3 linked regions of the Alligator mississippiensis genome follow. The protein of the gene in region 2 binds, or shares a complex with, the protein of the main gene of each other region. Links are inferred from orthologs where the notes say so. Each region holds a gene or a part of one and is shown on either strand. Other genes may lie near its edges. The genes, in order: LAMTOR2, FNIP1 and LAMTOR4.

Region 1 (8,023 bases), on a different chromosome or scaffold from region 2:
CTCCAGCACGCGTTGTTATGGGCTAAACGGCTCGGTAGCATCCTAGAGACAAGCACTGAAATGGTGAAAGCTCAGTCTCAGGCCCACAGGGAAGGATTCAGAGGCAGGTTTCTGGACCTCGACCCTCTCACCCACCTGCCTCATCAGCTCTGGGTTGTTCAGCATGTGGCTGATCTCAGGGTTCCTCTCCATGAGCTGCTGCATTTGGGGATTGGCCATGATCATCTGCCTCATCAGGTCAGGATTAGACATCATGTTCTGCACCAGGGGGTTCTCCATGATCTGGGATAGCATCTCCGGGTTAGACATCAGCTGCCGTTGCATCTGCTGCTGGAGCTCCATGAAGTTGGCGGAGCCCATCCCGAGGTTGCCGAGGCCAGTGATGCCTCCAAAACCCGCTGGAGAGAGACAGACTATCAGGACAAGCACTTTCAGCTGGGAAAAAGAGGGATGCATAGGCTGAACTATACGGGCAGAGAAACCAACCACATCACTCACAGAGGATGGATGCAGGGTTGCTGGGTGCTCCATTTCCAGCACCCCCCGTGGTCCCCGACCCACTGCTCCGCCGGCTGCCACCTCCCCCATCGGAGCCGGCGCTGCTGGACGTGGAAGGCTGAGATGGGGCAGCAGGAGAGGCGGGTGTTGCAGCAGGGGTGGAGGCAGCAGCAGAAGTAGCAGAGGCAGCAGCAGCTGAAGGATCTGGAACCCTAAAGAGAGAAGAGACAGTCACCGCTGCGGCAGGGAAACTCACACAGCCGGTTCCCTTCTGCAGTTCAAGAAAAGAAGCTGGGAGTGACCACCTCCGGTCAAGGGGGATGTAGAGCCATCACATCCAAAACAACCTGCTCTCACCCAAGGCAATGAGAAGAGAAGCGATGTTGGTATATACTTAACTCAGTCAACGCACCTCAGAGAAGACTGGTCCCTAAGCAGGCACTGACTTTTGTGTTATATATCAAAAAAGCAACTAGTTGGTTACCAGCATTCTTGACCCATTTGACTGCACCATGTATAACAGGCTTTTACACCACATATAACAGAGATGGGCTTTCCTCTGTGGCTGCAGGGAACAGGACTAGGAACAATGGCCTTAAGCTGCAACAGGGCAAGTTAGGCTGGAGATGAGGAGGAATTTTTTGACTTGGAGGGTGGTCAAGCACTGGAACAGGCACCTAGAGAGGTGGGGGAGTCTCCATCCCTGGGAATGTTTAAGGGCAAGTTGGACAGACACTGGGCTGGGATGGCTGAGTCTTGCTGGGGTTATTTGACCCCAGTGGTCTTTCCTGCCAAGAACAGGAGGACTGGACCCAATGATCTCACGAGGTCCCTTCCAGCCCTAAACTTCTGTGAATATGAGTCAGGGCTGATCCTGCCTTGAGCAGGGGGCTTGACTAGATGACCGTATAAGGTCCCTTCCAGCTTGACTTTCTCATGTTCTTTTCTCTTCAACCAACAGGGCATATTATAAGTAGAAATGGGAGAGAAGCAAGGCCCTGATGCTGCAGAAACTTGCACCCAAGCTTAGTCAGATCCATGAGCAAGCTTGTTAAGGTTAAGAGGACACACCCACACTGGCAGGGTGAGAAGCCATTTGCTACCACAGCTGTTCTAGCTTTGCTAGTTTCCCTTCCTCATTTCTCTCTCTCACACAGCAATGGGAGGGAAAGGACACTTTAAAACCCAAAAGCAGTTAAAGTCCCAATCCCCAATGGGAAGGTGGGCATGAGCCCTGGAACTACCAGCAACTCATCTGAAAAAGGGGGCTACAGTGCATATCAATGCCATTATGAATGTGGAACCATCAGGTGGTTTGCAAATGATGCCCCCTTCCCATAAACTGGCCATTCAACCACAAAGAAGGGTTAATACCTTCCTTGCCCGCTCGGCAAGAGAACCTGCTGCCCCCAGTACCTGAACAGACTGCAGGGAGGTAGCTCCTTGCACTGAGCAGAAAGGAAGGCTGACTGCCTTTCTAAAAGGAGAGACAAAAACCTTATGGGAAAGCTGTGAGTGCGGGGGGAAAGCAATGAGACTGGGAAAGGAGAATCTGCAGAGGTGGCCCTTAAAGGGGTTGAAACTGCAGATGGGCAGTGTCTTGGAAAGAAATCACAGCTGGCCAGCTGCTTTGAAAGCCTTTCTCCCCTTGCAGCCTGCCGAGATCTCTCTGCCATCCACCTCCATTCGCTCAGCCTCCCCTCCAAAAGCAGCTGAAATAGAGCATGCCTAGCCAGCTGCTGTGAGATGCTTGCCCTAGGAAAAATACTTCAGAATAACTACCCAGGGAGCAGGCTTGCGGCTACCGGGAGCACAGAAATTGTTGGATGAGGATTTTTTTGCCTCCATGGAACTTTCCATGGCAATTTTTAATCCCAAGCATTTTACAAACTAATTTCGCTGCTACCACAGCAGCGGCTGCAGTCAGGGAGACTGGGGAGAAGCCAAGCAGATGGGAAATAGGAAGTTTAATAAAGAAAAAAAAAGAAGAAAGATCAGGGTCACTTGGACTCTCTCAGCACAGGAAGGAAAGGCTGCGATGCACACATGCTGGTGACCATTAGAAAGACAAAAATGAATGATGGGCCAGTTTTTAGTTTACCCCAGGAGACAGTTTGCAAGTGCTGAAGTTTATCGCGGAGACAGCGGGAAGCAGCATGGCATCAGCACGCTCCGTGCACAGGTACTGTTCTGTACAAAAGCCTCCAACAGTAGCTGACAATTCGTGTGGCTTCAGAAAAGAGGTACTGATTTTTAATAAGCCAGGGAGGAGGCGCTCCTGGTGGGGGACAACACAGCTTCAAAAGGAGCGTGAGCCTGTTTAATGACGCCCACTGCTCAGATGGAAAGACGAGTCCCAGGAATGGTGGGAAAGGGCCGTTAGGAACAAGGAGGCCTGCTTGCATCTGTAACGCGGCAACGGCACCAGGAATCATTAGACAACTATAACTTAAGAGTCACCCAGCAGCAGCTTTCCAGTATGTTGATCTACACCCCATGTCTCTGGTCTGCCTGAAAGGTTACCCCCAAAAACGTCGTTACGTGCTCTTGATAATACCCTACACTCACTGAACGCCTCTTGCTGAAAGATCTCCCAGCGCACAGGACGGCCGGACCCCGCAGCCACGGGGACCCTGGAGCGCAAGGTTTTGGCTTCACATGGCTGTGAGCAAGTGAAATAATCTCCATATCCGCCCTGTCACCCGGAGAAATCCCTGCTTTAATAGGTTCTTACACGCAACAACTAATACTCGTAAGATTTCAAAGCACGTCAACTCTGCAAAGCTTTATGAAACCCAGGAGCCCGGGAGCCAAGACCCAATTAGAGCAAAGTCCCGCAGCCCCCCGAATTTGAACTCGTACGCTTGACGGCCAGGAACTCACAAACACGCGGCGTCATTTCCTAAAACCCCGGGAAAGGACGATTTCTTACTTCTGTGGGGTCTTAATCACCAAGTGCACAGTCAGTCCATCTTTGATCCCGTGTTGGCTCAACGTGTCTCCATCCTTCAGGATCTTCCCCGCAAAGATCAGAACCAGCTGATCCTGTTTGGCTTTAAACCGCCTGGAGATTTCTTCTTTGAACTAGGGACAAAGACAAAAGGAGGCAATTCTCAGGCCGAGGCGCTTTCCAGTCTGCCCGAGAGGCTACAGGAGCGCTGGGAACAAGCCTTCGCGCGGTCCGAAGGACACCGGGCAGCATCCCCGGGGCCGAGCTGGTTTCTGAGGTGGTTCAGGGGGCGACGGTGCATCCTTCGCCCGTTCGGCTCGTGCAGGCGAGCTTTGCAAGAGCAGAGCGCAACGGCCTTAACGTGAAAAGCAGCTACGCCGAGGATTACGGGCCCCGTTTACACCGGATCATCGCCGCTGGCCGGCACCGCAGAAAGCATGCCGGAGCGAAGCAGGCGGCCCCGTTTCTGGCTCCGACTCCCACGAGGACGCTCGGGTTTTGAGCCGACGGCCTCGCGGCGCCGCGGGAGGACCATCCCGTCCGCGGGAGGCTGCCCCGGCTCGGCACGTCCGCCCGTGAAGACGCGGCTCCGAGGACAGGCCCGGCTCCGCCTCGTCCACACGCGCCCGCCTGGCCATGCGCCGCTCGCCCCCGCGCCCCCCCGGCCCGAGCCCCGCGTCCTGGCTCGGCGCCCCCGCCCCCAACCCGGCCACGGCCTGCTCGCGGGGCGACCCCCCCGCCCGGGGCAAAACCTCCCGCGCGGCCCTGGCCCTACCCCCGCCCCCGCCTCAGGGCCCCGGGCCCAGGCCGCACCTCGCGCACGGAGGCGCCGTCGCCGATGACGATCTCCTCCTTGTCCTTGGGGGTCTTCACCGTGACGCGGATCAGCGCCGCACCCGGCCCCGGCTCCGCGCCCTCCGCGCCGGGCCCGCTCGGCTCCGCCATCTTGGCCGCCCGCCCCGGCCCGGCCCGGCCCCGCCCCCCGCCCAGGAGAGCGGCCCCCGGCGGCGCGGGGGGGGGCGCGGGGAGCTCGGCGCCCCCTGGCGGCGCGGCGGGGAACTGCGGGCGAGGGGAGGTGGAGTGGAGGGGCTTGGTGGGGAGACTGAGGCTGTGCATGCCCCTTGCGGGGGGAACTGAGACACACTGTGTGTGTGCATGGGGGTATGCATGCATCTGGGTGGGGAAACTGAGGCACGCTGTGTGCAGGGGGTATGCATGCCCCTGGGGGGAGAGGCGTGCTGGATGTGGGGAAGGGTATGCATGGCCCTTGGTGACTGTCTTGAGCTCCATGAGCCCCCCTCCCCTCTCAATCCTCGCAACTCTGCTCCGTAAGTGACACAGGGGAAACTGAGGCACGGAGAAGCTGCTCTGAAAAAGGGGCTAGCTTCTGGGTAGCCAGGGGCTGATTGTCCCTAAGGGCTGCCAGCTGGAGAGCTCACACCCACCCACCGCCCCTTCCCCAGGCTCAAGGCGGTTGCAAAGGAGCTGTAAAATGCTGCAGCCAGGCCGGAGGGAAGCTGACCTGGATGTGGGGATTAATCAGAGCATTCATTTCTCTGTTTTCACATCACCAGCTCCCAAATGTAAGTAGCGGTGGGGTGCGAAGGGGGTTGATCTCATGGCTGTTTGGGAGCGTCTGTGCTGGAGATGCAGCCGTGTTGTGCCTGCCATGGGGTTAAAGCAGGATTTTGGTCTTGTTAAGATAGAAATATATATTTCAGTGTATGTGTGCCTATCTATCTATCTTGCTCCTGACCCTCAGCCCCTGCCCACCCCCAGGCCATGCTGGTGCCTCTCACTCCCAACCCGCAGCCCCCTAGCGCTGCCTCCAATTGCCCTTCGCCTGCTCCTCCCAGCCCCAAACAGCTCCTTGCTGGGAAGTGCCAAGGGGGAAAAAAAAAATGATGCTGAGTAGAGCAAAATCCCAGATATTTGTTCATATTTTTAAAAAACTGCCTGGACAGAGGACCCAAAACGAGGACGTGTCTGGGAAAACCCGGACATATGGTAACTCTAAGCAATGTTTCTGCTTTTTAAAAAGGGAAACTGAACTGAGCTGGCAGGGCTGGGGGGTGGACAGCAAGATCTTTGTGTGGGCCATGTGCCTAGCTCCTGTCCTGGAGGTTGCCTGCAGCTGCCTTGCAAGCCTGAGTTGCTGGCAGGGCCATGCAATGCCTGCGCCTGTCGCATGTGGGCCTGACTCGGCAGAAGCCAGGCCAGGACTACAGCTCCCAGGCTGCTCCGGGCGCCCAGGGGCCATCAGCTGATGGGGAAGCAGAGCTCAGAGCTGTCTGCCTTCCTCTCCTCCCTGCTGCAGGGCCAAGAGCCGTGCGGTGGTGACCATGCTGCGCCCCAAAGCCCTCACCCAGGTGCTGAGCCAGGCCAACACCGGGGGGGTCCAGAGCACCCTGTGAGTATGGGGGAGTCGGGGGGTGGCTGGATGAAAGGGGTCTCCAAAGCCTGGGGCACAGCTCAGTACCTCTGAGCCTCCTTCCTCTGTACTCTTCCTAATTCAGGATAGAAACAGGCACCACTTGGTTTCCATCCCTGCCAGGAGCCATATAATGCAGCCTAGTGTGCCGTAAAAAGCAGTAATCCAGCCTAGCCCCTAAATCCTGTCTTCTCCCTGCCCAGGGGGGCTGGGGCACTAGCTTGCAGGACTAGCTGCATTGATGTGCCTGTGCATGGTTTGCTGAAGTGCAACCAGGCTCGTTCCAGCTCTGCCCGTTCTTGCATGCATTGACGTGAGACACTGCTAAGGGCACAGGCAGACAAGTTTCTTTAGGTAAATTTGATTTATTGATTGATTTTTATTATTCAACCAGTTAAATGCTTGGAAAAAATTTGTTTTTGCAAGCTTTTGGGTATAAACACCCTTCTTCAGAAGCTCGCAAAGAACAATTTTTCCAACTATTTCGTTGGCCAAATAAAAGATAACACGTTTACCCAAAGAACCTTGTCTGCCTATGTCCTTAGACCGACACGGCTACAACCAACAGCCTTAAAGCTAAGGGCATAGGAATCTTTTCCCACCTCCCCAGTTGCACCCCAGAGCCAAAGATGCCTTGGCTTCCTTGCATTTCAAGGTTGCTGCAACAGGCAGGAAGAAAACATACCATCAGGGGCGCGGGTCCTGGAGCTGGTGAGGTTGCCTGGAGCTGGGTAGATGCCGATCTTCTTTATGGCTAAGAGCCCCAGCTGGACAAAGCCTCAGCTGGGATGATGTAGTTGGGGCTGGTCCTGCTTTCAGCAGGGACATGGACCAGATGTAACCTCCTGAGGTCCCTTCCCACCCTCTTTTTTTTTATAATGTAAACCCCAAGGCTTCTGTAGCTTTTATGTAGGATGCCTGCCTGGATTTGGGGAGCTTCTGAAGCCCCAGACCGATAGGTCCAGGAAGGAGGACACTTGCCCAGTGGTAGAGTCACGCAGACTTGACAATTGAGCTTTGCTCAGTTGAATCTTGATACTTGATTATTGGGCTTTCACGATTGAATTTGGAAAGGATTCGGCCTTGAATAATAATAATAAGACGGTGATCTTCTTTCACACATGGGGTGATGCACTTACAGCTGAAGGTATAACCTGCCTGGGTGGTATTGTGTTAAAGGGAGGGGAGGGTGCTGGTTACTTCCCTCTTGGGGTGGAGGGGTCACACTTGGGATACTTGTGACTTTGGAGAGGCTGCGTGGGACCCTGGGGGCTGTGCATATGGGGGTTCAAGTCTGTCTCCTCCCTGCATCTCCTTTCCAGGCTTCTGAACAACGAGGGCTCGCTGCTGGCATATTCTGGTTACGGAGACACAGACGCCAGGGTCACAGCTGCCATCGCCAGCAACATCTGGGTGGCCTATGACAAGAATGGGCACCAGGCTTTCAATGAAGACAATTTGAAGTTCATCCTGATGGACTGCATGGTACCTGGGTTGGGGGTGGGGGTGTCGGTGGACTCCTGGCAGGAAGGTGGGATAAACCCAGGCAGCTTGAACATGAGATCCTGGCACCCAGTGGGTGGCTTCTTCCTGCCTTGGTTTCTCCCATCTGTAAAATGGGTCTGGTATGTGCCTTGTTGTGGGGACCAGTGAGCTTTATTCAAGTGTTTTGAGATCTCCCTGATGGAAATGCTAATTGTTGGGAAGTAGAACATCAAAACAGGGGAGCACTTTGCACCTGCCACTTGGAGTAAAGGGTGTGGGTGTGTAAACATCAGCTAAAACAAGGCCCAGGCTTACAAGTGTGACCTGACTTTGGCATAGCGTAAAGGACTGCATACAGGCAGTAGCAGCATCGAGCACTCTTCATCCGTAGACCTCAAACCACTTGACAGGCCAGCCTCAGTCTTGCAGATTGAGGGGAAACTGAGGCACAGAAAGGGGAAGGGCCTGGTTGGGCTGCTTTGCAGGCCCTTCTCAAAACAGGAGTAAAATCTGAGTCGAGGGCCCTTAACCCCTCTGCCACGCTATCTTCCCAACGACTCCTTGGTATCTTGATGAGGGAGAGCAGGGCCTCGAGATGCCGCGAGCCAGACCCCTAGAAGCAGGTTTGGGGCAGAACTCTGCAAACGTGGATTCAGTGC
Region 2 (7,686 bases):
CGCATATCAATTTAAAATCTATGATCCCCAAAATCTGTCAAAACTTTTCCAATAATAGGAATATAACAACCACGCGCTGCGTTCTACACTGCTCTCATTTCTCCAGTTTATCTCAGCTACAATTTCTAAAGGAGTCCAAGGAGCTGAGAGGCACTCTCATGTGTAAAGTACCTCACGTACCGACATTAAAATAGCTGCATTATGCATGCCAATAATGGATGACAATACAACCACTTGTGTAAGTGAAGCTGCTCATGTGTGGAACCACTTAAAGGATCAGGCCCTAACCTAGTAATTTATGGGCGCCTCATTATCGGACGCAAATCTCTTAAACTGCTGTTCGCACTCAGTTCTGAAGCTCTTCCCACAGTTTGATTTAAATCAGCCTTGCAAAATTATACTCAGTCACAGTAAATAAACTTTTCTGGCACGAGACAAGCAAGTAAAATATTGGTATAATTAAGATATTGGACATAAAAGCAAGCAGAATTTGTACCTTCACCGCTAAATTTTCATAACTTATCTGCAAGGCTGACTCAGATGCAAAATCTATACATAGCCAAGAAAGAATGAGTAACTTGTACTAAGCAACTCCAAAGCCACAGAGCAGTTACTGCATCCCGTACCTTCCCACCAGAATCACTCTTAAACGTTCTCTTTAACTGTCTGTTGTACATTTTTTTTTTAAAAGACCCAAACTGCAGTAACTTCATCTCAACCCTCAAGCACATCCAGCCCAAGATACCTTTTCAAACAGTTGCCCAAGTTGCTCTCTTAACCATATGGTCTGTTTTTTTCAATAGTGATGCTGATGGGCACTGATGGAGGCCAAATGTTTTTGAAAAGTTGGGCCACTTGCATAGGAACCCAGTAAAGATTTAGGGCTCTTACTCTCTTCCCATTAAACTCAAAGGCAAGCATCTCATTGAGTAGGCCCCTAGCATTATAAAAGCCAATCTCCCACTCTTGTTAATACAAAGATCACAGCTACGTATTGAAACTTTTCCTTCTGTACCACATTCTTCATAAGTTGCATGTATTTATCAATCCTTGCCATGTCCTTATTACCTATGGAATAAATTAAACACCTTGTATAATGGATATCTGCAGCAAAATGATAACTAGTACTAATAATGCCTCACTCAAATAAAACCCAGATCTCCTGCCTACTGGTACTTTAACCACAAAACCATCCTTCTCTTTCATAGTAATTTCATGTCAACATACTAAAAAAGGAGGGAAAAAAATTGAGGACAAGCTAGATATCTAAGTTCATGGTCAGTTGGCCCATATTAGAAGAAACCAAAGTTCTCATTTGAAAAAACGGGTCCAATTCTGCACACGTGCAATATCTGCAGCTTAGGCGTTACTTAAAAGTATCCATTTCCTCCATTTACAGCTTACAGGAACTTCAAGCATCCTTCAAGAGACAAAAGGTCTTTGCACTCCCTACAACGATGAGATTTTTTTTCTTTCATGGCATTCTTTACCGCAGGCCTGTTAAAAGTTTTATTATTGCGACGTATATTTTAATAAAGTATTATATTAGTAAGTGGCCAGCAGGATACCTTTTGACACTCCATATAGCCCATGCTTTTCTATTTAATGGTATGTTAGAAATACAACTTAACCTGAGCATCTGATCTTTCATATATGCATGTAAACATCCGTAATTGTATTTGAGGGGGAAAAAGGAGCAAGGGTCATTTTTAAGATGCGTATCTAGTTTGGGTAAAAAACAAACAAACCCCAAAAAATCCCAAAAGCAAACAAAAAAATAAAATAACTTTCTGTTAACAAAAAAGAAAAGAGCATAAGATAAATGTTACACTCAGGCGTCTTCCTTATAAATACATACAACTGTCACCTTCCCCTGCAGTAGGGACGAAAGCTGGTGAGTTATACACTACATAATAAAATGTTTATCACTAAGAAGTGTGTTGGCAGAGCAAGAAACGGCCTTTTCCCAGCTGACCAACTCAGGTGCCAGGTATGAGAGTGACACCAAGCCACTTCTTTTAACAAGGTATTGTGGCCCATCCAGCAAGTCAGTAAAGGATGGGAACCCCTCTGAAGGAAAAACGGCATGGAGATGCTTTGGCCGCTACGACAAACTCCCTTCAAGGTAGATTTCATAGGCGTTAGGTCTGCAAGGGACCTCCTAATATCACGGGGTGCAGCCCCCGCCCAAGAGGCCAGAAAGTCGGCTACAGGCTGACAGCCATTGCAATCGATCCTACGTTATTTCCAACATTTCCCACCAACTTTTGTAAGACTATAGGAAAACAGCGGATTTGCTTGACGGTGAAAAAACTGCGAGGTGCTGAAGCAACTAGAGCAACATGGTATGATTCAAAAAGAAATCACTCCAGCCTCCTGCTCACCCGCGGTTACAGCCGCTCACCCTGCCTCACCTCAGAGAACGCAAGTCGGAAAAGAGACCACGATCAACCGGGGAGGAGATGTTCCCACGCCCCAGAACCGGCACGGGTTACCCACGCCACAAAGAGAAAGGAAAAAAAAAAGATGTTTTGCTTGGTTACAAAACGACAGTCAACTGCAAAAAAGTTTTCTAGGCGTCCCTCTGCTATTTTCCTCGCGCGGCTGGGCTCGGCTCTGCTCTGGGAGGGGAGCCCTGCGAAGAAAAAACTTTTTTTCCCTGAGCCATCTTTTCAACTCATCTCGGGAGTGGTTTTTTTTAGGTCACAGCCTGCCTTTGCACTTCAGGGCGGGTAAGGAAGCGCCGAGCCCCTGCAGGAGCAGGGAGGTTTCTCCCCCCTTCCCTCAGCCTCCTGAGGGGGCTCAGCCCGGACAGCCGCCCCCGGCCCCAGGAATGGCGCCTGCACGGCCCCTCACGGGAGGCGCATCCCCGGGGCGGGGGAGCCGAGACCCGGCGGCGGACGAGGGGGGCAGCGGTACCTGAAGATACAGTCGTCGCGGGGGTCGCGGGCGGGCGGGCCCGGCCCCAGCTTCTTGCTGAAGAGCTTCTGGAAGAGCGTGGGGGACATGGCGGGACGCGCCCGACCCCGGGGCGGCGGCGGTGGCGGCTACTCCGGCAAGCCCGACTCCATTCGGGGCCGCGGTCATATGACGAGCCTGAGTCACTCGGCGCTGCCAGCGGGAGGCGAGGCGGGGCCGAGGGGAGGGGCCACGCCCCCAACCCCACAGGCCCCGCCCCCGCCTCCCAGCGCGGGAAAGGGGCGTCCGCACTCAGCCAGGTGCTGCCGCCGCCGCCGCTGCTTGTGGGGTGCGCGCGCCCCTCGCCTCCCCCCAGGCGCCGTGTCTGCGCCACCCCGAGGCCTGCCGGGCTGCGTGAATAGGAGCCTGTCTGTCTGTGTGTATGGACGTGCCGATTCGCTCTCACGCCAGGAGGCTTTTTATACCAAACATTTTTATAGTCTTAGGGGTGAGGTGGAGGCCTGCAGTAGTTGCTTTGGGTGAGGTGCACCAAAATTGCGTCTCCTGCGTGGATGTGCGCTCCTAGGTGAGGCGCGGAGGGTGCACGGGCGCCGGCTGCACAACCAGAAGTGCACGTCCAGTTTTGCCGCTGGTGGTTTTGCACTCAGCCACTGGGGGATTGGCTGCGGCGGGACCCTCCCCCATTGGCCATCTGGTGCTCCCCCCCCAGACTCGGGAGGGACCGGTCGCCCACGTCTGTGCTCCTTGATCATCTGCCGCACGCACTTCTGTAGTTGCCGGGAGGGCACATGCCCCCCCTGACAGCAACTGCTCCGGCTAGTAGCGGGGCATGGAGAGTGCTCGTGTTCCTCCTGAATTTGGCTTTGCCGGCAGCATGTCAGCGGCGGAAATGCTGGCAGGAGAAGTGCCGGCACTTCCACCACCACTGTGCCACATGTGGAAGTGCTGGCACTTCTGCCACCGGTGCACTCAGTGACCAGCTGCTAGGATACCACCCCCTCCCCCAGTCACCAGCTGGCTGCTGGGGGACCCCCCCCCCCCCAGTTGTGACCCACTGGCGCCCACCCCAGACTCGGGAGGCACTAGTCACCCATACACTAGCTTATTTCCTACCCCTCTCCCTGGTCCATCAATGAAGCCTTCACCATCCTCTCTTCACACTAAATGAACATTCACCACCCCCTTGTGCTTGTGTGCACTGTCTGCTGTTGGTGAGTACCAAAATGGTCTTGTAAAAGTGGTAGAAATGGGTCCGGGGGCCAGTACAATTGATGTCTTGGAGCATATCCCTATGTGTTACATTGTAAAGTAGGTTCCCTATATGTGAATTCAAGTTAAGCGCCGTTTTCCCGGAACGCATGTACAGCATAAAGTGAGGGAAACCTGTATATAGATATATACGTAGATGTGTGTATACATGTGAAAATATAGACTTGAATATAGGCAGACAAAGTTCTTCGGGTAAAATGTCATCCAGGAAAAGCACAGAACGACTGCTTTCTCAGCCTGACGAAGGGTGTTTGTACCTGAAAGTTTGCAAAGAAGACTTCTTCCAAGTATCTGAGTTGGTCTAATAAAAGATCTCAGATTTACACAAAGAAACTTGTCTGGCTTGGGTAAATGTGAGATCTTTTATTAGACCAACTAAATTAGACAGACTTGAATATACATGAACATGGAAATATATATACATATATACTATGTACAAGTATACATATATACTATATGTAGTATATATACATTAACATTTGTATAATTATACATACACATACATATGTATATATAATGTGTATATAATTATACAAATCTGTGTGTGTGTATTATAGAGAGAGAGTAATACACACACACACATATTAATATTTCCAAAAATCCTTGTGAAACCCCACAGAGGGGCTCAGGAGCAGCACCTGCCGTCATTTAAAACTAATTTTGCATCTCACCTCCTCTGCAAACTAAAAATTGCTTCAGTGGGCCCTTCCTAAGATCACTGAAGATTGCTAAAGAAAGATTAAGTCTAATAAAGGTCTCTCTTTTATAAGTAGCTACCTGTAGGCAAACTGCCACACCCAGACAACGGCTCTTGACTTCACTGGTTCTGTCCATTCAGACATGCATACAGGTTTGCGGCCTCAGATATCCTCAGCCTTTAGAGGACTATAAGGAAATATCCACCTATACACAATAAGCTTTATTACATATAAAAGTTGGTGGCACAAAGACCCCATAATACTCAAAGAAATAATGCGGGGGGAGGGGGAGAAGAACTTTTCCTTCCATCTGTGAATACCTATAATCAAAACCAGTTCTTTGTAATTTAATTTTTAGATTATAAGAATCATCTTGCCTTCAATTCTAATATTGAAGGAAGGGGAGCAGGAAGGGGGCCCTGACAATAGCTGGCAGGGATGGGGGGGAGGGAGAGAGGCTGTGTGGGCCCAGGCAGGCATGGGGCAGGGGGAGGCAAAGGGGAGGGTCATGGTGGTGGCTGTTGTCAGGGAAGGGAGGGAGGGAGGGAAGCGAGAAGGGAAGAGGGGTCACAGTGGTAGCGCCCCCCCCTGCCCCCATAACAGCCGGCAGGGAGAGAAAGGCGACGGGGAGGGAAGGAGGGGAGCAGGGAGAAGCCACTCTGCAAGGCAGAGATGGGTGGGGGAGGGAGCCCCCGTGTCAGAGGCTGGAGGAGAACGCGGTGGCGGGAGTTTTTACATGGCCAGCCCCAAAGGGTGAGCAGGGGTGATGGGGGGCCATATAAACACTCTCTGAAACCCATCATTCTTGATGGACAATTAGCTAGTTTGCTTATAAAGATCTAATAAGTATTAGGCCAAACATATCTAGTATATGTTATATTAGTAAAAATAGTTAAAATACACATTTTCCAGCAATTCAATCATTTTAGTGTAGTTCTTACATGACTCATCTGAAATGGCTCCACTACATTAATTCAGAGAGATATTTAAGGCCAAAATTTATGAAGCCATCTCATTAACTTCACTGAATAAGAACTGATGCTCAGTTAATCTGTTAAGCAGTATCCATGTAAGACTGTGACCTATAACCTTTACCCACTGGTACTGAAGAACAACTTTCCACTTCCACTGAAATTTAATGCAGTCACTTTTACCAGAAGGCAAAAAAAAAAAATAAAAAAAAAAATGGGGAAATGCCTAATCTCTGACAAAAACCAAACAGAACAAGAGCAGACATTGTTGCATGCAGAGAATTTCCATCTCTGGGCACAGAAACAGCTGGCCTGGCAACTGACTGCTTGTAATAAAACTCTCCATTAGAGTCAAGGAAAGAAGGAGATTATTACAGAAGTGCAACTATATGGAGGGAAAAGAAAAATTTCAATCACAGATTCACAGAAGTTTCGGGCTGAAAGGGACCTTGTGAGATCATCGGGTCCAGCCCCCTGCTCTGGGCAGGCAGAGAAGAGCCATTCATCCGATTAGAGGCCTAAAGAGCAAGCCTTACGAGGAAAGGCTGACAGATGTAATAACCCACCAACCTGTGCATCCAGTCTCCTTTTGAAGATCTCCAAGGTAGGCGCCTGCACCCACCCCCATTGAGAGTCTATTTCAGAGTCTGGTCACATGAATCACGAAGAAGTTTTTCCTTATATCCAGTCTGAAATCTTCTTCTAGGAGTGCGTGACTATTGCTCCTGGTTTTCCCCTGGGGCGCTTTGGTGAATAGTTGTTCGCATCGCCCCTGATGCTCTCTGCCGATATATTTGTAAGCCGTCACCAAATCCCCCCAAAGCCTTCTCTTTTCTGGGCTAAACAGTCCCAAATCCCTCTCCCTTCCCCAGTCCTGCAAATTCCAGGCAAATGAGTGACTGCCCATAACAAGAAACTGCGCTATTGGACAATTTTGTGTGTGTATTCTGTCAAATTTTATGCTGGTATCTCCAGCCTTAGAGAGTAGGGCTGCCTACAAAACTTCTCTCAACACTGTAGTTCACTCATTCTTTTGCTTCTAATGACATTTGCATGAGATTACATTCTTGATTGCAAACACATGTTATTTGCCTGCCCATTCCAGGCACAAATCCCAGTCTGTCCCCATCTCATTCTGTGCTGAGAGGTTGACTCTCGCTTCCAGTTGGCCTTTGATGTTGGCCCCATCATTGACTTGCTTGATTTTCATGCAAGCACATTCATATTTTCTCTCACAGTATTCTTCATGCCTGGAAGAGCTCCTCATAGACAGGCTCAATGTTCTCTCTCTACTCTCTTTTACAGCAAAGCCTGCAAAAAAACTGGGCAATGCATAGGCCTTTGATGTACTATAACTACTGCTTGTCTTCTGTTGTCAGTCTCTATCGGTCTGTTTTCTCTTGTTTCGTACTTGCACTGGTAACTTCTTTGAACATCTTTTATTTAGGGTTTGTGAAATGCCTGGCACAATGGGGTCCTCGTTTTTGACTGCAGCTCTGGGACATCACATTACTTCAAAAAACAAGTTAGTATGAAAAATAAAGTATGGTGAAATGCGTTGCCCTGCAAGTCTTACCAGATGCATAGCTGAAACAAAATGTAGAATTCAGTTAAGGAGCCAGACTAACTAAACTTACCAGTTGTTCAAATCTTCCCATGTGTACAATTTGTTGGTTTTTTTTAAAAAAGGAACTTATGATTTGTAGCAGCTAGCATAATGGGAACTGGTCTCAGCACAGAAAGCTATCACATGCAGTAATGGAACACATTCTTCAGTGGGAAACAACTTTTACAGTGGCTTCATTTTAACCTTTTTATTTAGACATTTG
Region 3 (7,844 bases), on a different chromosome or scaffold from region 2:
TCATGGGAGTGCGGGCAAGGGGGCTCCTGCCGTAGAGGATCACGGGAGTGCGGGCATGGGAGCTCCTGCCGCAGGGCATCACGGGAGGGCAGGCAAGGAGCTGGGGGGGGGCTCCTGTCCTGGGGTATCTTGGAAGTGCGAGTAAGGGGGCTTCAGCTGCAGGGCATCATGGGAGTACGGGCAAGGGGGCTCCTGCCGCAGAGGATCATGGGAGTGCAAGCAAGGGGGGCTCCTGTCTCGGGGCATCATGGGAATGCAGCTAAATCACAGGAATGCAGCCAAGGCAGCTTCCTGCCTCTGGGGATGATGGGAGTGTGGGTAAGTAGGACTCCTGCCCCAGGGCATTCTGGGAGTGCAGCTAAGGGCACAGGAGCCCCAGGGCATCATGGGAGCGCAGCCGGGGGACTTTCACTCCTCCCCCCCGCTCTCCTGTTCCAACCCGCGGGAACCCAGCCGCAGACCCCCTCCCAGGCCTGGGAAAGGGGCTCGAGCTGTGCAAGGGCATCGGCTGTGCCTCATCGGCACCGCTACAAGGAAGATTAACATCATCGACTATTTTTGTTAGGTGCAGCCGAAAACGTCACTGACAAGTGGTGCAGCCACAGGGCGTACGCAGGCAGGGGCACAGCCTGGCAGCGCAGACACCGGCGTCTGGCCATCAGCCTGTGGGGGGAAGGGGTATGGGGTCTGTGGGGGGCCCAGATGCCTAGGTTCTCTCCCCATGCGTGAAGGGTCCCAGGTGCTTGTGTTGTCCCCTGCACCGGCAGGATGGATTTGATCAAATCCATTGAAATTATGATTTAATTTGGGATTGAAATCTCTCATCAGGGAGTCTCGATTTACCCAGTGTTTTCTACAAAAAGCGCATTGCTGCTGGAGGTGCTGCAGAACAGTGTCGTGTCGTATGGAGAGGTCGACGTGCCACGAGACAGAGGGCTGCGTGTGCACGAGGGAGTGGGAAAAAGTGGAATAGGAAAGTCCAGCCCAGCCTGGCCCGGCACATCCTGCCACCAGAGGCGACCCAAACAGGGTGTGGGGCCCACGGGAAATCAGCCCATGCAGGGACCCACCCCCACTCTGGCCCAGGCCCAGCAGAAGCTACAGCAGCAGCAGGGGATAGCAAATGACTGGACACGGAGCCACCACTCCGCCCGACTCTACGCCACCACTGCTCCACCCAGCTCTGCGGGGCCCCCCAAAGCGCGGGACCCAGGGTGGTCACCCCGATTCGCCCTCCCCGAGGGACAACCCTGCCTGCCACAGCTCCTCTTAACAAGGGTGGCGCCTGTGTCAGATCCTATCCACAGTGCCCGAGTTATGGGAAACTGCCAGGTTTTGTCACCCAGACTCCTGGGGCCAGGGGTCTCCTGGCCAGGGAGTGGTGGCTGGGGGATGAGTGTCTGGGAGCCCGGAAACCTGAGCTGTGTGGGAGGGGGTGAGGGGAGGCTGCAGGGGTGAGAGCTGGCAGACTGGATGCCTGGGTTTCCTTGGCCTTTGGTGCTTGGAGGGTCCCAGTGCCCAGCAACCCTGTGACCCCCATTGTCTCCTGCAGGATGCAGCAGGGCCCATGGGCACTAACCGTCACAGGCACCCCAGCCCCATGGCCCTGGAAGCAGTGCTGGAGGCGGAGTTGTCCTCTAGGCAGGTGGCCGGTGCCCCCTGCAGCGAGGCCCTGCTGCCCTGTGGTGCCACCAGAATGGGAGCCCCATGGCTGTGTCGTGTTGCCAGATTTGGCCCTCAGTACATAGCCTGTGCAAGCTGCACTAGGACCCCCAAGACCTCCTAGAGCAGCACTGGGCTGGGGGCTCTTTGCCCTCAGGCACCTCTCACCCCTCTTCTCCTTCCCTGCCACCTGCCGCGGTCCCAGCCCCTGTGGCACTGCAGGGGATTATCGTGGACGTGGATGCCACTGGTACATACTCGGGACCCTGCCTCCCCCAGACCCGGGTGCAGGGGGACCTGCAGACACCCTTTAACAGGGTTTTGTTAGGTTGACGAGGGGGGCTGCTACCCCAGGGGATCATGGGAGTGTGGGCAAACGCATGGGAGCCCTAGGGGATACTGCCTCAGAGGCCTAGGCTTCTTACTGATTTATTGGTCCCATTTTCTGCACACAGTGACCAGCAATCCCTGACCCCCTAGGGGTAGTCGGCGTGGCGGGCCCAGGGCAGGCGAGTGCGCAGCAGCAGGAGGCAGGCAGTGGCTCCAAGGGCCAGCAGCAGCGCCAGGCCCAGCGCGATGTAGGCACCCGTGGTCAGCCAGAAGGCAAAGAGGTAGAGGCCACGGTGGCAAAAGTGTGGGTTCCCAATGGCTACGTACTCCGGTGGGTAGATGGAGTATACCCACACGTTGCCTGTGGGGTAGAGGTCATGGGAGGGCAAGGGTCAGTGGTCATGCAGGGGCAGAGTCAGGCTGCCTGGGGTGGGGCCAGAGGTCACTGCTGGGGGCAGTTCACAAAGTCACAGCTAGCTGGGAAGATGTAGGTGGGGAGTCAGGGGTCACACCCAACTGGGAAGGGGTCATTTCTAGAGAGAATTTCAAGGGGTCACAACTAGATAGGAACTGGGAAGTGCGACGGGGTCATACCCAGCTCTGGAGGTCAGGAAGGGGTCAGGGGTTACTGCTAGGGGGGAAATCAAGGGGGTCACAGCTAGCTAGAACATTGAGATGGGGGTCTAGAAAGGATCAGAAGTTATTGCTAGGGGGGACTTTGAGGGGTCACAGCTAGCTAGGAAGATGCAGGTAACGGGTCAGGGAAGGCCACAAGAGGTCAGAGGTCACTGCTGGAGAGGTGGGAAATGCAAGCTAGAGGGGCCTGGTATACAAGCAGCCCTATGAGAGGGCTGCCACTGAGAGATCAAAGGTCAAAACATCCCACTCCCTCTCTCCCCAGTGGACTCAGGCATCTGGGCCTGTGACTCACCAGCGATGAACCAGGCGAAGAGGAAGAGGAGGAAGAGCGCATGGCAGCCCCAGACTCCAGGCTTCACTGGGGGCGGCTCAGCCCCATCGCCACAGGGCAGGCAGGTCAGCATCAGGCTCAGCAGGGCCACGACCCCCATGCCCAGCAGGTAAACGGGCACCAGGGGCTGGCAGGGACACTGCCGCAGGTACACAGCCCCTGGGGGAGCGTGGGGTCAGTGAGGGGGCAGAAGGGGGGATCTGCACTGCCCCATTGAGGGGTTTGGACTCACCAACCGCAACACAGGCGACCGGGAGCGCCGACAGCACCAGCTTCCCCAGGCCTGGAAGAGACACAGGGTCAGGAGGAGCCTGGGGCAGGGGTCAGCCAGGGGGGACAGGGGGCACTTACAGGTCAGGGCAAGGGTCACAGGGGAATCCTCAGGGTCCCGCAACAGCGGCACGGAGCTGTCTTCAGGATCTGCAGCCATCGCGGGGCCTGGAGTGGGGGGGGGGGATTCGAGACAATGGGGACCCCCCTGGACTGCCCCCCCAGCCCTGCCAGTGCCCCTTGCTCCCAACCCACAGCCCCCTTCCCAGTTCTCCCAGTAACCTACTGGTCCCAGGTCAAAACTTCTACCTTTAATGAGTCTTTCCTGCCCCCAGGGCCGCCCCTTTATAGCCCCCACCCAGGAAGAGGCAGCTGAGGTGTGTGCCTTGCCCCTCGGCAATATAATTGGGGTTGTGTGGAAGCGAGGCCTTGTCTTAAATCCAGCTGTAGGTGTTTGGGCTCCCAGGCTTTGTTCTAAGCCCAGCCCCTTGCAGAACCCAGGCGTCTGGGCTCCCAGCCCCCACTTCTCTCACAGCCATCCCTTATCCCCTCTTAGACAGCAGGGAGAGGACCCAGCTCCTATCCTTTAGTTCCAGTTTCAAAGGGGAAGAAGTGGAGTCTTGCACATCAGAGTGGGAAGCCCAGATGCCTGGGTTCTCTAGGACAGCAGTGGCTGAGGGGTGAGAGCAGGGGGGGCTGGGCACCCAAATGCCTGGGTTCCCTTCCTGTAGCCACAGGCCACCACAGGCCGCCGTCGTTACTGCTGAGTGGGGCTGATAAAGAGTTCCTGTCACCAGATCTGTACAGTGGGGGAGGGGCGGGGGGGGGGCAGTCCCTGCCAGGCCCCGATCCAGGTGTCCTGGGGGGCACTGCATGGGGGGGCAGGGCAGGGGCCTTCCCTCTCCAGAGATTCCAGTAGCTGGTGGGGGTACTTGTAGCTCTGATATCCCCCAAGTGTACATGGAACGAGTCCTTCAGGTCTCAGCTCAGGTCCCACTAGGGCACTGCCCCCTTCTCCAGCCTTGATACCCCCACATCTGCCCCAGCCCAGCTCCATGGAGGTGAGTTGTGGGGGTTGAACAGGACCCAGAGAGGCAGCTCCCTGCTCTCCCACAGCACACACAGAACCCAGGTGTCCGGGATGCCCCCCACCAACTTCCCCCCGCAGTCACCTACCCGCCTCGGGGGGCTCCAAGCTCTGTGACCCCCCGCCAATGGCTCGGGGCAGAGCGGGCGACAGGACTGCCACAGCCACACAGCACAGCCAGGCCAACAGCTGAGCTGTGACTTCCTGCCCACCCCCTCCCCCCCGCTGCAGGAGAGGTGGGGCTGCAGGTCTGGAGTGAGGGGCACTGGTGGGGGTGGGGATGGAGGTGGGGCTGCGGGGCAGGAGTGAGGGGCACTTGTTGAGCTGGGGGTTGCGGGTTGGGAGTAAGGGGCATTTGCAGGGCTGGGGGGTCGGTGGTCAGGGGCACCACTTGGGCTGGCACAGCTGCGGGATGGGAGTGAGGGGCTCCAGTCAGGGAGCGGGTAGGTCACAGCTTCCTTCCCACCCCCCATCAATCCCCCCTCGTTCTCCACAGGCACCACACGACCCTTGGCCCTGTCCTGGGCTTTATTGGAGCCACAAGCAAGGTACAGCAGGACCCCCTCCCCGTACTCCCTTCCCAAAGTCGTCCTGGGTCCATGGTGCTTAGGGTGACCCTGGATGCCTGGGTACCCATGTGGGTCTGGAGCTGGGGGTGCGGCTCCAGTGCACCTCAGTGCTGCGTCGCCTGAAAGAGAAAGGAAGGAGGTGAGTCCCCATCTGTCCCTGTCACAGCCCGCGGCCAGCCCTGCAGGGTGGCTGGCTCTGGGGTGGGGCCTGCTGGGAATAAGAGGCACTCACAGGGCGCTTGCGGAGCCGGGGGCCACAGATGCAGCCAGCACAGCTGTTGAAGAACTGCACAGTGCAGAGCAGCAGCTCCAGCACGGCTCCCCCCAGGATCAGTGAGAAAAGAATGATGTTGAACTTCACCACGTCCGGCGGGTTGTGGCATTTCCCCCAGAGTTCCGGGTGGAACAGGTAGCTCGACTTCCTGCGGGGGGTAGGGGGTCACCCTGGATTGGCCCCCAAAGCCCAGCCAGTGCCCCTCACTCTTGACCCGCATCCCCTGCCTCTCCAGCCCCCCCACCGGTGCCCCTCACTCCCAACCCTCGCCCCCCCAACCTGAAGTCATCATCATCGTCGGACTTCCAGGGTGGGCCCTGGAAGGGCCGTCCCCAATCTGAGAGGTTGCCTTCGGGCAGGAGATACTGGCACAGGGGCCCGCGGACCAGTGCCAGCCCCGACACCGTCATGGCATAGATCGCACCCCCTATGCCCAGCACCGCCATCAGCATGGACAGGAACATCTGCAGGGGCAGGGGAGGGCTGTTAGCCAGGGGTGGGGGCAGGATCAGGATCAAGCCATCCGGTGCCCCTCACTCCTGCCCTGCAGCCCCTGCGCCCCCAGTATCCCTCACTCCTGACCTGCAGCCCCTCCCCCACCCTGCTGGTGCCCCTCACACCCAAACCCCAGCCCCTTGATTTAGGGCAGGGGTCTCTCACCCCGCAGCGGTTCCCGCAGCAGCCCCGATGCCCAGCTGCCTGGAAGTGGATGGCGGTGATCACAATCTGGAAGGAGAAGAGAGAAGGGCAAAGACCCTGGTCTGGCCTGCACCCCGCATCCCCTGGCTTAGCTCCCAGTCCCTCCCCATCTGCCCAGCGTCCCTCGTACCAACAGGCCGCCGCCAACAAGGCCACCCATGTACATCACCTCCGGGGTGAGGTGGGCGCCACCGCCATGCACAAACTGGGTCTCCCAGTTGGGGAAGAAGAGCAGCACATTGCAGATGGCGCAGAGTACAGCCAGGGGACAGAGCGCGGCTCCCAACACCCGCGAACAGGCCCCGGGGCACATGGTGGCTGCGGGGCCTGCTGGGGCTGCGGAATATATAGGTTGGGGGCGGGTGTGGCTGCTCCTGGAGTTTGCCCCACGGGCAAGATAGCAACTGCGGGGGCGGGGGGCTATGAAGGGAGGCTCCCCCAGGCTCAGATGCCTGGGTTCTGTGGGAGGGGAGGGGTTGGAGGGTGAGAGTAGAGGGGCCTAGATACCTGGGGGGGCAGGGGCTGGGACCCCACATACCTGGGTTCCTGATTGGCGGGGGGTGCAAGGGGGGTAGACAACACAAGTTATGACACTGATTATTTAACAAGCTTTTCTGTTCTCAGGGCTAAGGCCCCATAAATGCCACCTTTGCCCTACAGCCCTGGGTTCAACTTGTGGACCAGGGGGAACAGGTAGGGAGGAGGCACCCACAGACAACCCAGGGGCTGGGGCCTGGGCACCCCCCCCACCAGCTGCTCCCAGAGAGCCCAGGCATCCAGGTCTCCAGCCCCCTGCTCTCACTCCTCAGCCCCTCCCACCCCAGAGAACCCAGGAGTCCGGGGTCTAGGAGCTCCAGGTGCTGTGGCCTTGAGCTGTGACCTGCCATCAAGGCCTTGGCTCGATCGATTGGGGCAGGGACCAGGGGTTTCCTGTGGAACCCAGGCATCTGGGTCTGCTCAGGTCCTGGTTACAGGGTGGAGCAGCCCCTTGAACCCTGCCCCCAGGCCCAGGGGGTGGGGGGGTGCTATCTGCACATGCAGAACGCAGGCGTCCAGGACATGCCCCAACCTGGTGGCACAGACACACATGTGGGCCCCACAGGTCCAGGACACATGCGTGTGGCCTAGCCCTCACTATCATGCTTGTGTCTGTGTCCCTAGGTCAACCCCAACCCCCTCAGGAGTCCTGGAGGCCCCCAGCCCTTTTGGCACCGAAGCAGCCCCGGATGCCTGGGTTCTCTCCCCACTCTGGCTCCTCCATTCCCAGCCTGGGAGGGACCCTCCCATCGCCACCCACCCCCTCCCCTCAGTACCCTCACAGAGACCCTGCTGCCGACCACAGCCCTCCCCCACCTCAGTGCTGCACCGCAGCCCTCCCCCCCCCCCCCCCCAAGAGAGGCAGAACAGCTCAATTCTATGGTGTTTATTTGCCGCTCAGACACCTGGGGGGTGAGAGCAGAGGGGCTGGGGGCCCAGATGCCTGGGTCCTTCTGCCATCACCCCTCTGCCCCCCCAGGCTCTTTGGCACCCCCCCCATCCCCCCGCAGTACACGGAAGGGGGCACCATGTCCAGGTACCACCACATCGGCGAAGCCGAGCACCCACTGGCGGCTGTGCTCCTGCCGCGCTGGGTCCTCGCTCAGCCCTTGCCAGGAATCCTCATCCCCATGCCGCTCGAACAGGTCCCCAGCCACCACCACAGTGCCCAGCATTGTGCCCCGCACCACCACACTGGTGTGGGCGGCCACGTGGCCCGGTGTGGCCACCACTTCCACGTGCCCAGGGTCCAGGGCATGCGGCCGACCCTCCACCAGCCCCACAGGCAGGTACTGGTCAGCGCCTGGCGCGCTGCGGTCGAAGCCCACGAGCAGCTCGGCCGCAGGGAAGAGGTTGAGGTTGCCAGCATGGTCTGAGTGGCCATGGGTGCAGACCACGTGCTTGATGTCAGCTGGTGCCAGACCCTCACCCACCAGCGCTGCCAGG

What was found.
Region 1: FNIP1 (region 2) and LAMTOR2 share a complex: the UniProt entries of both Homo sapiens proteins name them as parts of the lysosomal folliculin complex. The link is inferred for Alligator mississippiensis from reciprocal best matches to the Homo sapiens genes FNIP1 and LAMTOR2.
Region 3: FNIP1 (region 2) and LAMTOR4 share a complex: the UniProt entries of both Homo sapiens proteins name them as parts of the lysosomal folliculin complex. The link is inferred for Alligator mississippiensis from reciprocal best matches to the Homo sapiens genes FNIP1 and LAMTOR4.

What each region holds. Positions count from the first base shown.
Region 1 is NC_081838.1:17,227,839-17,235,861, forward strand, and holds the start of LAMTOR2 (ragulator complex protein LAMTOR2), read left to right. Parts: upstream 1-4,946; 5' UTR 4,947-5,029; coding exon 5,030-5,031; intron 5,032-5,765; coding exon 5,766-5,858; intron 5,859-7,201; coding exon 7,202-7,364; intron 7,365-8,023. Other genes in the region: UBQLN4 (ubiquilin-4), read right to left, coding at 136-398, 499-710, 3,431-3,582, 4,262-4,393. UniProt on the Homo sapiens protein: As part of the Ragulator complex it is involved in amino acid sensing and activation of mTORC1, a signaling complex promoting cell growth in response to growth factors, energy levels, and amino acids.
Region 2 is NC_081832.1:68,196,482-68,204,167, reverse strand, and holds the start of FNIP1 (folliculin-interacting protein 1), read right to left. Parts: upstream 3,092-7,686; 5' UTR 3,009-3,091; coding exon 2,920-3,008; intron 1-2,919. UniProt on the Homo sapiens protein: Binding partner of the GTPase-activating protein FLCN: involved in the cellular response to amino acid availability by regulating the non-canonical mTORC1 signaling cascade controlling the MiT/TFE factors TFEB and TFE3.
Region 3 is NC_081838.1:23,516,350-23,524,193, forward strand, and holds the start of LAMTOR4 (ragulator complex protein LAMTOR4), read right to left. Parts: upstream 3,008-7,844; 5' UTR 2,966-3,007; coding exon 2,924-2,965; exon of another isoform or gene 2,894-2,923; intron 2,354-2,893; exon of another isoform or gene 2,088-2,353; intron 1-2,087. Other genes in the region: MBLAC1 (metallo-beta-lactamase domain-containing protein 1), read right to left, coding at 4,993-5,007, 5,121-5,310, 5,442-5,626, 5,823-5,888, 7,832-7,844. UniProt on the Homo sapiens protein: As part of the Ragulator complex it is involved in amino acid sensing and activation of mTORC1, a signaling complex promoting cell growth in response to growth factors, energy levels, and amino acids.